3 linked regions of the Coturnix japonica genome follow. The protein of the gene in region 1 purifies or fractionates together with the protein of each later gene. This does not show direct contact. Links are inferred from orthologs where the notes say so. Each region holds a gene or a part of one and is shown on either strand. Other genes may lie near its edges.

What was found. The genes of interacting proteins can lie anywhere in the genome.
Region 2: the proteins of PAK2 (region 1) and GIT2 purify together in Homo sapiens (affinity purification with mass spectrometry; 3 studies listed by BioGRID and IntAct, with this or other methods). This does not show direct contact. The link is inferred for Coturnix japonica from reciprocal best matches to the Homo sapiens genes PAK2 and GIT2.
Region 3: the proteins of PAK2 (region 1) and GIT1 purify together in Homo sapiens (affinity purification with mass spectrometry; 5 studies listed by BioGRID and IntAct, with this or other methods). This does not show direct contact. The link is inferred for Coturnix japonica from reciprocal best matches to the Homo sapiens genes PAK2 and GIT1.

The regions. Positions count from the first base shown.
Region 1 is NC_029524.1:3,560,249-3,564,963, forward strand, and holds the start of PAK2 (serine/threonine-protein kinase PAK 2), read right to left. Parts: upstream 3,126-4,715; 5' UTR 2,961-3,125; intron 2,726-2,960; exon of another isoform or gene 2,594-2,725; intron 1-2,593. Other genes in the region: PIGX (phosphatidylinositol-glycan biosynthesis class X protein), read right to left, coding at 4,253-4,411. UniProt on the Homo sapiens protein: Serine/threonine protein kinase that plays a role in a variety of different signaling pathways including cytoskeleton regulation, cell motility, cell cycle progression, apoptosis or proliferation.
Region 2 is NC_029530.1:6,002,633-6,006,996, forward strand, and holds the start of GIT2 (ARF GTPase-activating protein GIT2), read right to left. Parts: upstream 2,865-4,364; 5' UTR 2,768-2,864; coding exon 2,716-2,767; intron 544-2,715; coding exon 410-543; intron 59-409; coding exon 1-58. Other genes in the region: ANKRD13A (ankyrin repeat domain-containing protein 13A), read left to right, coding at 3,182-3,333, 3,992-4,070. UniProt on the Homo sapiens protein: GTPase-activating protein for ADP ribosylation factor family members, including ARF1.
Region 3 is NC_029534.1:4,843,403-4,847,989, forward strand, and holds the start of GIT1 (ARF GTPase-activating protein GIT1), read right to left. Parts: upstream 2,865-4,587; 5' UTR 2,753-2,864; coding exon 2,701-2,752; intron 526-2,700; coding exon 392-525; intron 320-391; coding exon 207-319; intron 120-206; coding exon 14-119; intron 1-13. Other genes in the region: ANKRD13B (ankyrin repeat domain-containing protein 13B), read left to right, coding at 4,400-4,510. UniProt on the Homo sapiens protein: GTPase-activating protein for ADP ribosylation factor family members, including ARF1.

The DNA.
Region 1 (4,715 bases):
TGAGCTAAGCAGCATCTCTGCACACTCACAGCATGGCGGTACCGTAGTGGGAAAGCTGCCTTGTTTGTGTGTGAATCAGCTTAAAAGCTTACAGACACATAGTTGGGATTTCTTACAGACGACTGACTGATTGTGCTCGCTCTTCTCCTCCTCCAGCATCCTCAGTGAGAAGTGGAGGCTGCAGGCTGGTCTTGCAGCCACTGGGCAGCTCCAGGCCATCAGTACAGGTAGATGTTCGCCAATACTGCTAAAATTCCAGAATGAATTCATTAATTGGTTTTCTTGTGTTTTCTTTTAAACGAGCAGATAACAGATAGAAGACTTTCAGCTCAGTCCCTTCCAGCAAACCACTGCCTGGCCAACTTTGGTCTGACTTCAGCATAAGTGAGATCCAAACTCTCAGACGAGAGGATGGCATTTTGCAGGAGATGGGCTTAGAGGAAAGATACTCTCGTTCCCATTCATCCAGGCTCTTTCCCTATCCGAAACCTCTCCAGGAAGCAGGAGCTTCAACAGTAAAGTCACTTAGAAAGCATCTGCCAGAAACAGTCTTTTCTCTCTCTTGTTTGGAAGATAACCCTGTTGATAAAAGCACTTCTGCAAAGACTGTAAATGAACAGTGAGCATAAGTTAAGAGTAGAAAGCATCACATTTATTTCCAAAACAAAACTCACAGGACCGGGCAAAGCTTTGACTTTACTCATGAAAGAAGCTCTGGAAAGTCTTTGTATGCTGACAGTTGTAAACTCCTGGGAGCACACGATGAGTCAAACAAATACCTGGCACCAGCACCAAAACAAGCAGCAAGGAAAAAAGGTAGAAGCTGAATTGGAAAGACTTGCCAGTGTATCCCCAGCTCTTAATCCACCTGCCTGCTGTCCTGCTGCTGGTTCACACACGCTGCTTTGGACCAGCTTGCCATGAAGACAGGGCTACCAGTTCCCATACTGGCCAGCTACAGCAGATGAGCCCTAATGATTGTGGACTGAACAATAACTGGGCTTTCTGATATCTGAGCTTCCAGAAACCTGCCAAGGGAACACATCACCTTCACCCAATCCCACAGGTGCAGGAGACATGCCCTCCTTCAGAGCTTAACATCGACTGATGCTTGTGAATAAACTTAAACACAACTGCTCTATTTACCATCCTCAGTCACTACACCAACACTGATGCTGCCCTTACATCTTATAGGAAACAGTGACCTTATCTATTACATAAAGCTCTCCATGCTCACTAGGAGTAACACTACACACCCCTGGTAAGGTGTGTTCATCAAAAAACACGTTCTAAGCAGCAGTTGTCCACTAGTCAATCGGAATGCAAGAAATAAAGCACCTGATTTCCCATGAGACCACAGCATGAATTGACATGAAACCACGCTTCCTCGCAGGAAAAGCTGTTTCCCCCCAGGCTGACCTTGCTGGGATGCAGAATCAATCCAGCCCTGGGCCAGGAGCTGCATGAAGAGGACTTCATCCTTTCTGAGACCCAGCCTGGTGTGCAGGTGCTCAGCTGATCATATAAAACATCACCTGTAGAAGCTCTCCATCACTACCTTCTACCCCCAAAACCTCGCTAAGTCAACTCACCTTTAGAGCTTCCCTCCTATATCCCACATGCCGGCCCCCAGAGCCTTAATGCTGCTCACGTTTACCACCAGGCCCAGCCAGTTCAAGCAGCATCTCCCCGAGTACCCTGTTTTCAAAGCAAAGTAACTTTTGCTCTGTTGTGGCTACACAGGCACGTCAGTAAGGGGAGCTGCTGCAGGAAACGCTGGCACAGAAGTCTCACGGAGCTCTTAGCGCCTCAGAAACCTCCTAATGCAGAAAACAGATTAAAGGTGAAACGTACAAGACTGATACAGGAACGCTAAAGCAGGAGGAGTCTTGGTAATAAAACACTTTGACCTTCTTCCCGATCCCTGCAGCTCTCCTATCAGCGCAAAGACAGAACAGAAGCATGGATACCCTTACCACTTCTCCTAGGATCAGTCAGAAACCAAACGGGCTTGAAGATTTTTCTCTTTTAAACCTAACTGAAAGGCTCCAATGAAATAAGCACAATGGTGGTTTTAAAGGGCCACATTTTAAAAGATGCCCAAGATGAGACCCGCCATACATGGTCAAAGCATTCCCCCACACACTGCAGCACCAGCCCAGAGGACACAGCAGCAGGTGTCAGTGCAGCAAACCCCCCATGGGCTGAGCACTGGGTCAGCACTGAGCCCAACCCGGAGCAGCATGAGCCTCCTGCCCCCACCTCACTGTGCTACCAACAGTTCAAAGCCCTCAGCCTGAAGCTGACGGACGTTTCTTTCCTTGTCCATTTCGTAGCCCAACGTTTTTAATCGCCACACTTCCACACACACAGAGGATGTTAACCCAGCACTTCTTAGGTCCGGGCTTCACGCACAGCAGCACCGAGCTCCACATCAAAGCTCTTTCTTCCTCTAAAACGTTTCTCGCTGAGTTTTTTCCTCAGGTGTGTCGATGTGAGCGCTTGAAAGCTCACAAAGGCTTCACGTTTTTAGCTCCTGTGTTCTCTTTCAGTTTCCCAGCCCGTCACAGCAGCCCACACGCGGAGCCCTCACCCCGCAGCGCTGGGCCACCTCCATCCGCAGCAGAAAGGAAGCGCACATCGGATCGCTTCCCGTTTTCGATGGCCGCCCGGGCTAAGGGCTCACGGCACGATCTCACGGCACGATCTCATCGCATCCCGCCGCCTTCCCGCACCACCCCGGGCCGACTCTCGGTGTCTCGGCCGCCCGCCGTTCCCCCTCACGGCCCCGAGGCTGCTCGGCCCGTCCCGCCCGTCCCCGTTCCCCCCGTCCCTCCCCACAGCTCCGTACCCTCGGGGCCGCCCCGCCAGGCGCCGCCCGGCCGCCGCCCCGCCGCAGGCCCGGCCGGGAGGGCCCACAAAGGGCGGCAGGTGGGAGCGGGCCGCGACCGCGCACTCACCGGGGCTGGGGCGGCGCCGGCCGCCTCCGGGACGGGCCGAACGGGGCAGCTGGGGCGCGGCCGCCACACGGCGCCTCTGCAATGGCGGCGGCGGCACCCACCGAGACGGCGGCGGCAGGAGCCGGAGGGGGAAGCGGAACCGCCGCGCGTGGCCACAGCCCGGGAGGGCGGGGCGCCGCCACCGGGACTACGGGTCCCGGCAGCACCCGGCAGAGCGGGGAACCACGGGAAGCGCTGCCACGGGCGGGAAAGAGGCCTCGGAACGGCGGACACAGTGGGAGCAACGCCGTCACACCATGGGGTTAAAGAGCCCCCTTCCACCACACAGATGGCGCCGCTGAGGTAGTGGATGAAGCAGCCAGCAGCATTCAGCACAGCCGGGGGAAAACAAGAGCCCTCTGTCAGAGCAGTTGCCAACCTGTGGTGGGCACAGTCACAAGACGAGCTCTATTGAATGCCAGAAGCAAAGGATGCCCAGGGGATCATGAAGCTACAGCTGGACAGCCATGAAAGGCTCATTCTGCTGGGGAACAGTCCTGGCTGCGTAGGAAGGAAGATGGACTTTGAAAACCAGCCGCTTTTAACTAACTGAGCTTATAAGGAAGGGCATTTTGTCCATCAGCAGCCCCTGAGCTGCTGTAAGGTCACAGTGCCACCTACTGACGACTGGAAACAGCGACTGTTCATCTCGAGCAACTCAGTTTTTCCATTAAGTAATTTCCTCTCCATATTTCCTTGTATTTATCAACCGCTCTGAGGGCTGAATTCGAGCCTTATAAATATTTGCTTCTAGTTTGTATCTTTTCACCAGCTTTCATCTTCCAAGGGTTATTTGAGCTTCAGATATAGGGTGAAATTCCCTTCAGATTTTCTAAGCTCTCAAATCCTTCGGTTCAAAGCAAGAGAAACTAATCCCCCCCCCCACTTACTACAGGGCTGTACCCATTGGTTTTTAAGCCTTCTACTGTGACAAGTAAGCAAAGAATGTCTCTTCCCAAATCCACACATAACCCATCTGGGCAGCATAAACGAGATTGAAGGATGTTTTTCATACCATTAACACCCACTTGTCAAGTCTGTTCATTTAAATTCAAGAAATACAAACACCTCTGTGAGGAAAAGCACCAGCCAAAGCCCAAAGCTAGACCAGGCTGAGGTTTAGGGTAAGGAATAGGAGTCACATTCTGCTCCTGACTGCTGCTGCCTTTGTACTACAGTCCATGAGGGCACCCTCATGCATTGCCAAGATGTGAATAACAGTAACATCTGGAGCTCAGTCATTTTGCACGTCTTTATTCCAAGCAGGTCACCAGAGAGAAGTCTCCATATCTGCAAACAGCAGTGAGAATCAAGCTGGAACAGAGCACGGTGGCAAGAAGAGTCACGACACACACTAAGACACTGTGTTGTGTGAGCCCCACCGGGACACGCAGAATCAGTTCTTCACTCTCCTACAAGGAAAAGTAAATTGGTTATACACACTTAACCAGCTTTTGTTGGTTTTTTAGCTGCAATTCAGGGGATGGGTAACTAGGCTGCTATTTAACTTGCCCTTTGCTAAGGCTTGATCTTGAATCCCAAAAGAAAGCTGAGATGGGACACAGCCTTTCAATTTACTGCCCTTGCAGAGAGCCAGCTACACTGCAGAGGCCTTTCTTTATTCAAGTCGTGCCAATTACAGCACTGTCGATTCTAGGATTCCAACTCAACTGCCTCTATAAGAAGTCACACAATGAGGCTTTTATCAGGTAGGTC
Region 2 (4,364 bases), on another chromosome or scaffold:
CCAGCAACGAATGTTCCCAAATGGAGTTAGCACCATTATTATACAGTGTTTCAACCATCTGAAATACAAAATATATACAGGCAGGAGTGAAGAACTTAGCTGCTAGCTGCACAGATTGACTCATCAGAGAGCTGTGAGTATTGTGAACCCAGCAGCAGGATGGCACTGACTCATATTCTGTATAGCAGTGCCTAAAACCCACTGGGGTGTCAAAGCCCAGCTGATGTTTAGGAGACTGTTGTGTGGAATGTAATATGAACCCCCTTAAAATTCTCTCTCCTTCCACATGAACATCTCTACCAAAACCAATGCTGAATATTTAGGTTGAAGCAGATATATATATACATATATAGAAACACCACAAAGAAATTCTAGCTTTAGTAAAGGAGGAGATGTCATTGGTCTTTACCTGCAGCAGTGTTGGAGGCCATGGTGTGTGCTTGAGATGTCTCACTTGAGAGATATGACGCCCCAAACTCCGGTGAACGCTACAGCACTCATCGCAAATCAGAATTCCCCTGTTTATGGATGCCCAACAAGGATCTGAAAAAAGAAGACATTTATTACAACCACAGAAGGCAAGGCAGCTTCTTATTTCAGAGCGGAAAATGACTTTGTGTTTTAGAACTCAGTGTTTTAACTTGAGATTTACTGCTCTCAGAAGCAAATCCAGTTTCTGTCAGTGACAGAAGAGGCTCCGTGGGCCAAGAACCCTGCAGGAAGGAAAGTGAGCAGCAAGACATTGTCAGAGCTGGCACAGTGCAGGAGGAAAAAGGAGTTCAAAATCTCTTCTGTTTTGGAAAACCTACTTAATTCCAAATCCAGAGCTGGGTTTAAGGCTGAATGAATACAACACAAGCCTGTATCTGATGAGAGATCTTCTGCATCGTGTCAGAATACATCTAAGCAATTGTGCATCACACAAATATCCTGCTGTGACCCGTGCAATAAATATAGTGAATCCATGAAACGTGAGATCTGATCACTGATGTGGTTTCTGAGCAGAGCTGATGCTGTGTGTGCTGAAGGCAACGCAGGCAAACCCACGGCTCACAAGGGAAGGCAGCATCTACTCGTAGATGATAACTATCACATAGCCCAGAGCCAAACTGAAGTGCATGGTGTAGGAAAAAAAAAACCTAATCTAATTTAAGAAACAAAGTAATGAGGAGTTTGAGTGCTTGTTATTAAACCATTCCACTATTTTTACAACTTTCACTTCTAAGAGAGAAAAACAGAACAACAAAACAAGCTTTGTTAACCCCAACCCAACGAGCCAAGGCTGGAGGCATCCTTCAAGACTAACGAGCCTCATCCCTTTTTATTACAGACATCATCATACACTCATTCATACATCGTGATCTTCTGAAAGCCACTGTGTTCCTGGTTTCAGTCACGAGCTGCTCGTTCAATATGCACCGTAACCAACCCCGTTCAGCTACAGCAAAGCAAGCTCCTGTTTATCTGATCATTCCACAGCAGAATGGAAGCTTCAGCATCCCTCTGAAGAGCAAAGCAGAAGCCTGGCTGGTAATCTGAGCTCCCACACAAGGCTGGTCAAACAGCAGCAGGAGCTCAGCGCTGCAACCTGCTTTCAAAGTCACGGTGGTTTAATCAGAAGTGGAGTTTTAATTGAGGTACATGAAGATTTGTGGGCTCCCATTCAGTTCAGACGTGGCTCACTGCCAGTTACTTGCTCTCAAGTAACGGATGGGGACCGGAAAGGGAACAATATTGGTTATGACAGAGGGCTGTCAGGTTATAGGAAGACTTATTTCAGGTTTAAGTTAAATGTCTGCGTTGGAGTTTAGTCTGTTTCTAAAGGCAATACAGGTACAAACGCAACGCAAATACACTTACACTGATGGCGGAACACAAGAAATACTCAAAAGATCTCTCAAGTTTGCTTTCAGGAACATGGCAGAGCGCTTCAAAACAGGAAGCGTGCAAGGACAGGCGTGCTCTGCGGGTACGAGAAGTGAGCTCCTGCCCCAGCAGCATAGGAAGTGTAACAGAAAAGAGCATGTCAAACTCTCCTTGAGCACAGCACGACCACTTGTGGTCCTAAAGAAGCAAAGAGAAGTTGGGGGAAACCCCAGAAGACAACCTGGCTCAAATGAAGAAGATCCTACCAGCCCTACAAACTCTGCTTTCAATCAAAGAAGGGGTTTGTTCAGGTTTTTGGGTTGTTTTGTGAAGAAAGGACTAAGCTTTTGTTACACACATGGCTAAACCAGCAGGCTTCTCTATGAGCATCAGATCTGACGCTGTCATGCAGCACCCAACAACACACAGAGCTGTGACCCTGCTGTGTGCTGGCTGCCCTGTTGTACTGTGTCCAGGTGTAGAGCCCTCAGTACAAAAATGACATGGAGATTTTGTTAAGGGTCCAGAGGAGGGTCAGGAAGATGATCAGGGGGCTGGAGCACCTCCCCTATGAGGACAGGCTGAGGGAGTTGGGTTTGTTCACCCAAAACAAAAACCAGTCTCTAACACAGGAACACCAGCACTATAAATAAGCAGAAATAGGGACTTTAGACCCTCATTTTATACCTTTATTCCCCACACCCCCTGTCAGCACAGCGCCCATCCACACAGCGGCACCTGCCCTCCTCTCCTCAGTGCAGGGGGGTGGGGATGCGGACGGGCCCTGCCGCCCCCTCCTCTCGTCTTTCCCCTTTATCCCCCTTCTCCCCTCGGTTCCTCCGGCCTTACCCTGCGCACTGCAGTCCGCACACACCTCGCTGCTCCTCAGCCGCTTCGACATCGCTGTTCGGATCGGGACCGGCCGCTTCCTGCCGCGCTCAAGGGGCCGCCTCAGCCCCCGCCGGGCGGCCGAGCCGAGCGCGTAGTGCGCATGCGTACGTCAGCACCGCACGCTACGCCGCCGCTCGCTATTCACGAAGCATTTTACGCTAACGTGAGAAGCCAGGCGGAGCTGCGCTGCCGTAGCCGTCGTATCGCCCTAACTTAAAATGGCGAATAGAGACACTGCCCTCACTCGCAATGGCTGCGTGTCTTCCGTATTTCCGCGGTAGAGCATGCGGGCGAAACCAACGCTGCCCAGAGGCGGGGGGGGATGGTGAGAACAGGGCGGCTCGTCAGTGTTACGGCTCAGAGGTTCCCCCCCTTGAGAGGTAAAGCGATGGAGGAGCCGGCGGGCAGGACGCCCTGTATATAAATGGGGGGAGAGCGGGGAATTGAGACTTCCGCTTGTGTGAGGGTCTGTGGGCTGCAGCGGGGAGAGAACGGGGCCCTATTGAACGCAGCTGCCGTGCTGTGGGACGGCCCTACCGCTGCCCTGGAGGGAAAGGAAGGGGCCAAGGGACGGGGGTGAGGAGACGGCTTGGGTGGGAAAGGGGCTGGGGTGTGAGGTGGGGCCTAAGGATGGGGGGAGCAGGGCACTGGGAGCTGGAGACTGAGGGATAAGGGTGGGGAATAGGAGTGAGGGTCTTAGGGAGGGCACCAGGAATGGGGACAGAGGGGGGTGGGAGCAGAGCCCTAAGGCTGAGGGACCTGGGGGGGAAGGGGGAAGAAAGAGGGGGGGGAAGGCAGAAGCTGAGGTGTAAAAGGGACCCCAGATATAGGAGAATAAAGGGGACTCCAAAAACAAGGGCCTGAGGAAACGGGGGGGGGCAGGAGTGGGGGATTCAAGGAGAGCTATAGGTATGTGGGTCTGAGAGAGGGGATGGCCATAGGGATGAGGGGTGGGGGGCAGAAGCTGAAGCCTAAAGGGGATTAAAGGGGAGCAGAGACTTGAGGGAGGCCATAGGGATGGTGGTTTGGGGGGGGGGGGGGGGGGGGGGGGGGGGGGGGGGGGGGGGGGGGGGGGGGGGGGATAGAGGTCTGAGGGGGTCAGTAGGAGCAGCCCCCCCCCCCAGGGTGTGGGATTTTGCATGGGGTGCCCCTAAACAAAGCAGGGGGTGGTGAGGGCAGGCTGCCTGCTTCCCCTGCTCCTGCAGGTGCGTGGCATGATGAGTTCCCCCGGCAGGGCCAGCGCTGCGTACCCCCTGCATGTCCTGGTTTGGAATAATGATTACCAGCGGTTGGATGAAGAGCTGCAAGAACAGGTAACTGCTGCCTTCCTGGGCAGAGAGAGCCTTGGCTGTGCCCCGGGTCTGTGCCAGGCTGGTGGGACTGTTTTCCTTCTGCACCTGTCTGTTTGTGGGTTTGAGAGTGAGGTAAGAAGGTATAGGGATGTGATGGACTTTCACTGTTTATCTGAGCAAAAAGAAGCAGCAAACAGAGCTTGCTTTAATGGAAAATCAGAGTGCAGCGCTGCTGCTGCTAGAGATGAGGGCAGGATGCAGCTTGCTGCTGACCAGCAGTGCTTAGAGGCAGCAGTTTTATACTGGCTGGAGTAT
Region 3 (4,587 bases), on another chromosome or scaffold:
ACCGTGCCCCCACCTTGCTGAGGTCCTTGGCGGTGACACCATCATCATCCCGGCACGGCAGCTTGTGCACGAAGGCCAACATCTGGTACTTGGCGCGGATGAACTCTGACTTGGTGGGGCTGGAGACACAGGGTGAGGGGGGGGGGACATCCACCACAGCTCCCCCCATCCCCACAGCCCCATCCCCACACACAGCCCTCACTTACTGCACTTTATCCTGGGGATTTGCCTTCCTGCGCCCGCTCTGCACCTGCGCCGGGTCCAGCAGCGAGTGCTCCCAGATGGAGTTGGCCCCATTGCTGGCCAAGGTGTGCACCATCTATGCATGGGGGGGGGCACAGTGAGCCGATGGGACACCCCCCTTGTAACCTCCCCCCCCGGGTGCACCCACCTGCAGCAGCGTGGCGGGCCAGGGGCTGTGCCGCAGGTGCTTGACGATGGAGATGTGGCGGCCCAGGCTGCGGTGCACGCTGCAGCACTCGTCGCAGATGAGCACACCGCGGTTGATGGAGGCCCAGCCCGGGTCTGCAGGGGGCGTGGGGTGTTATGTAGGGGGGGCTGTGTGTGGGGGGGGGCAGCGTCACCGTAGCAACATGGCGGTTTCCAGGGTGACGGAGAGGGGCTCAGCCCATCGCCAGGGGAAACCCAAAGGGTTCCCTTAGCAACCAAGGGGGGGGGGCAGGATTTGGCCCCCTCATCAGAAGGGCTGACAGCAGCGGGGGCGATGCCAGCACTGTGCAATACACCCTTACGTGCCGATGCTGTGTCCCCTGTGCTGCGGGTGTCCCCATACAGGTGGGTGCCCTCCCACCCACTCAGCCATCACGGACTCAGTGGCTGTGCCCCCCCCAGCAGCCCCACGCCCCCTGCCCGGCCCCGCTCGGCCGCACTGGAGCCCTTTGTGTCCCCAGGAGAACAAAGGGACGTTTGAGCACTGTGCTGGCACCGGCCCCGCTCCAGCCACGGGGGCCCCACCGTTCTTTGGGGGCAGCTCCCCACAGCCAGCACCCCAATGGGTCCAGATCCCCCGGCACCAACAGAAGGGATGGGGGACAGATGGGGTGCCACCCCCCCCTCCACAGGGGGCAGGGGCAGGGTGGGCCATACGGTCCCCAGCGTCCCTGTGCCATAGCAGAGGAGTGTTGTGCATCTATAGGGCCTACACAAACACCGCGCCGCCCCACGGGAGGAAGGGCTGCGGGTGGGAGGGGGCAGCAGCACCACCAGCGACCCACCCCCATCACCCAGTGCGGCGCTTCCTTCCCACCCCCTCCCCAAAACCCCACTGCTGCCCCACACCAGGCAGCCCCGACCCCTCTAATATGGGGGGCACAGCCGGCAGCGGCCACAAGGCAGTGTTGTCGTCGTCCCCCCCCCCAAATCCTGGCAGCACCGCCCGGGCAGATGGCAGCGCTTGGCAGCAGCACCGCCGCATCTGCGCCTCCGCACCGCGGCCCACGGGGCGCTGCCGGGAACAGGATGCTGCGTGCCGGGGGGGGGGCACCCCATATAGCACCCCATATAGCACCTCATATAGCACCCCATATAGGATCCCATATAGGACCCCATACAGCACCCCATACAGCACCTCGCAGTGCCACCCCTTCCTCCTTCATTGGGATCGGGGCGGCTGAGGGCACAGCAGAACGGTGCTACCCCATAACCCGGAGCAATGGGAAACTCCATCCCTGCGCCGCGGGGGCGATGCCGGAGCCGGGCACCCCGCACATCCCGACACCGGCTGCTCCCGGCCCCGCGATGTCGGAAGCGGCCTCTGGACTTTATAACTCATTTCCTCCCATGGCCGCCGGGCGATAAGGGATTGGGAGAAAAAGCTTTCCATTTCCCCCATAGGAACCTCGGCACCGCCGGGTACCTTATAACAGGGGCTGACCCACAGCAGTGGGTGACCCCGCAGCCCCCCATGCACGTGGCCGCCATCCTCAGGGCTCTGAGCCGCTTTCAACGTTCATTCATTGCCCCCAGCGCCGCAGGGATGGGTCTGGGGGTCACAATATGGGGGGGGAGCCATCTTTAGGGTATGTTATAGAGATAATGGGGTGCAGCGGGGATTCCCAGTGCGGGGTGTAAAAGGGGAACCCGGGGGTAAAGTAGGGGGTGAAGAGTGGGGGGTAATGGGGGGCAACAAGGGGCTGTAAGAGATAGAACAAGGGGTCTGGGGGGCACAGGGGGCATTTTAGGGCTCACTGTAGGGTTCCTGGGTGCAGAACAGGGGCACCGGGGGGCACAGTGCTGGGTGCCGAGAGGGAAAGTAGGGGTACAAAGGGATGGGGAATGGGGTGCACCGAGGGTTGCAGGGGGAACGGGGGGGGGGTTTATTTAGGGCACGTTGTGGGGTTGCTGTGGGCAAAGAGGGAGTCGGCAGGGTATGCAGGGGGAACCCTGGGCTCCTGGGGTCTCAGCACGGGGTGTGAAGGAAGGGTGGGGGTCACTGGGACCCCTGGGGTAAATAGGGGGTGCGGGGGGGGGAGGGAGGCACCGGGGTATCGCGGGTACAAAGCTGGGGGTTCAGAGCGGGGCAGCGGGGTCCAGAGCAAAGGGGGAGGGGGGCGTCATCCAGGTGCTGATGCTGGGGGGGAGGGGATGGAGGCACACGCACAACCGAACTGCGAACGGCCCCGCGTGGAGGAGGGTCGGGGGGGGATAACGCCGACGGGGCCGGGCGCGGCCCTTCCCTACCTGCGGCACTGCAGTCCGCGCACACCTCCGCCCGCTGCGCCTTCCGGGACATCCTCAGCGCCGAGCCGGGCCCGGGTCTCTGCGCCAGCGCGGAGCGGGGCCGGGGAAGGGGGGGATGGGGGGGTCGGGTTGGGGAGGGGTCGGGGGGGGGCGGCGGGGCTCGGGGCCGCCTCGCCCTCCTGCCGCCTGCCCTGCCGGCTGCTCGCAGCCCCGGCGGCTCCGCAGGAAGCGGCTCAGGCCCGGCCCCGGCGGAGGAGGAGCAGAACCGCCCCCGCCCCGCGCAGCGCAGCGCAGCGCAGCGCAGTCACGGCGCGCCCTGAGCAGCAGCGGGTGATGGAGCTGCGGCCCTTTGGGGCGGATCGGGGCCCGTCCTGGTGCTGGTTCTCGTCCTCATCCCGGCTCTGTCATCCTCTGGTTCTGGTCCCGGTTCTAGTCCTGATTCTGTGCGTCTCCTTGTTCTTGTCCCCATCCTGGTTCTGTTCCTGGGCATTCCCTGCCTCTGTTCTGGTCCTGCTTTTGGGTATTCCCTGCTCCTGGTCTTGGTCCTGGGTTAGTCTTGGACCTTGTCCTGGTCCCGGTTTTGTCCTGGACAACCCCTGGTTCTTGTCCTGATAGTGATCCGGATCCTGGGCATCCTCTGGACCCGGGCCTGGTTCTCATTTTGGTCCTGGTTCTGAGTTGGTCTCATTCTAGGCATCCATTGGTTCTGGTTTTAGCCTTGGTCCGTGTCCCGTTCCAGGTTCTGACCCAGCCCATGTCCCGGTTCTGATTCCATGCACTCCCCGGCCCTGCCCCCAGCCCCATTCCCAGCCCAGGGTCCCATCCTGCACCCGCACCCCCGAGGCCCCAAATCACCCCGACCCCCACCCCCACGATGGCTGAACCTGGCATAGTGTGTGTGGGGGGGTTTGATACTGGGGGTGCCCATCTCTGTGCCGTTGTCAGATGGGGTCGGGGGGCGCCACCCCCAGCCCGGGGGACCCCGATCAGCGCCCGGGGCTGGGGGCACAGCGCCGTGTCACGCTGCACCCGCCCGGCGCTGAGCTCACCGCTGCATGGCCGTGACGTCACGGGACAGCGGGACCTTTGGGGGGGGGTCGTCACGGCCACAGCCCACCATAGGGGCGGGGAAGGAGCGGGGTGACCCCGCGGGAACCCCATAGGGGCGTGGGGAGGGGTCGGAGGGTGGGGGGGGGGCAGCCGTGGGGCCCAACCTCGCATTGTTCTCTGGCGGCTGCCGGAAAACACGAGCGGAGGGACGGGGGCGGAAAGGGAAATGGGGCCGGGGGGGGGTCGGCACCCCACGGGCTCATCGCGGGGGTCGCGCTGCTGCGTGTTGAGCGCCCGTGGGTGGGGAGAGCGGGGGGGTGCGATAAGAATTCAGGTTGTGCCTTCGGGCGCTGCGGAGCCGTCCCCGAACAGCCCCATACAATGGGGGGGGGCATAGGGCCGGCGGGGGGTGCGGGGAGGAAAAGGAGGAGGAGGAGGAGGAGGAGGAGGAAGGGGCGACGCCGCGCTCAGTGACTACAAGTCCCATGAGGCCGGGCGGTGCGGGGGGAAGATGCGGGGGGGACCGTCCGGGCGGCTCCCACCCACCCCCCCCCCCCCACCGCCCCGCCCCGCTCCGCGCCCCGTTCCGCCCCGCCCCGCGCCCCGCTCCGCCCCGCGCCCCGCTCCGCCGCTCCAGCATGAACGGAGGATGCTCGCGTCTTGCTCGGGCAGGAAGGGGCCGGAGGGCAGATACCCGCTGCATTACCTCGTCTGGCACAACCGAGCCCGGGAGCTGGACCGGGAGCTCAGCGCCAAGCAGGTGGGGCGGCGGTGCGGAGCGGTGCGGTTCCGTTCGGTTCGGTTCGGGCTGATGCAACGCTGCGAGCTGGGCTGCGG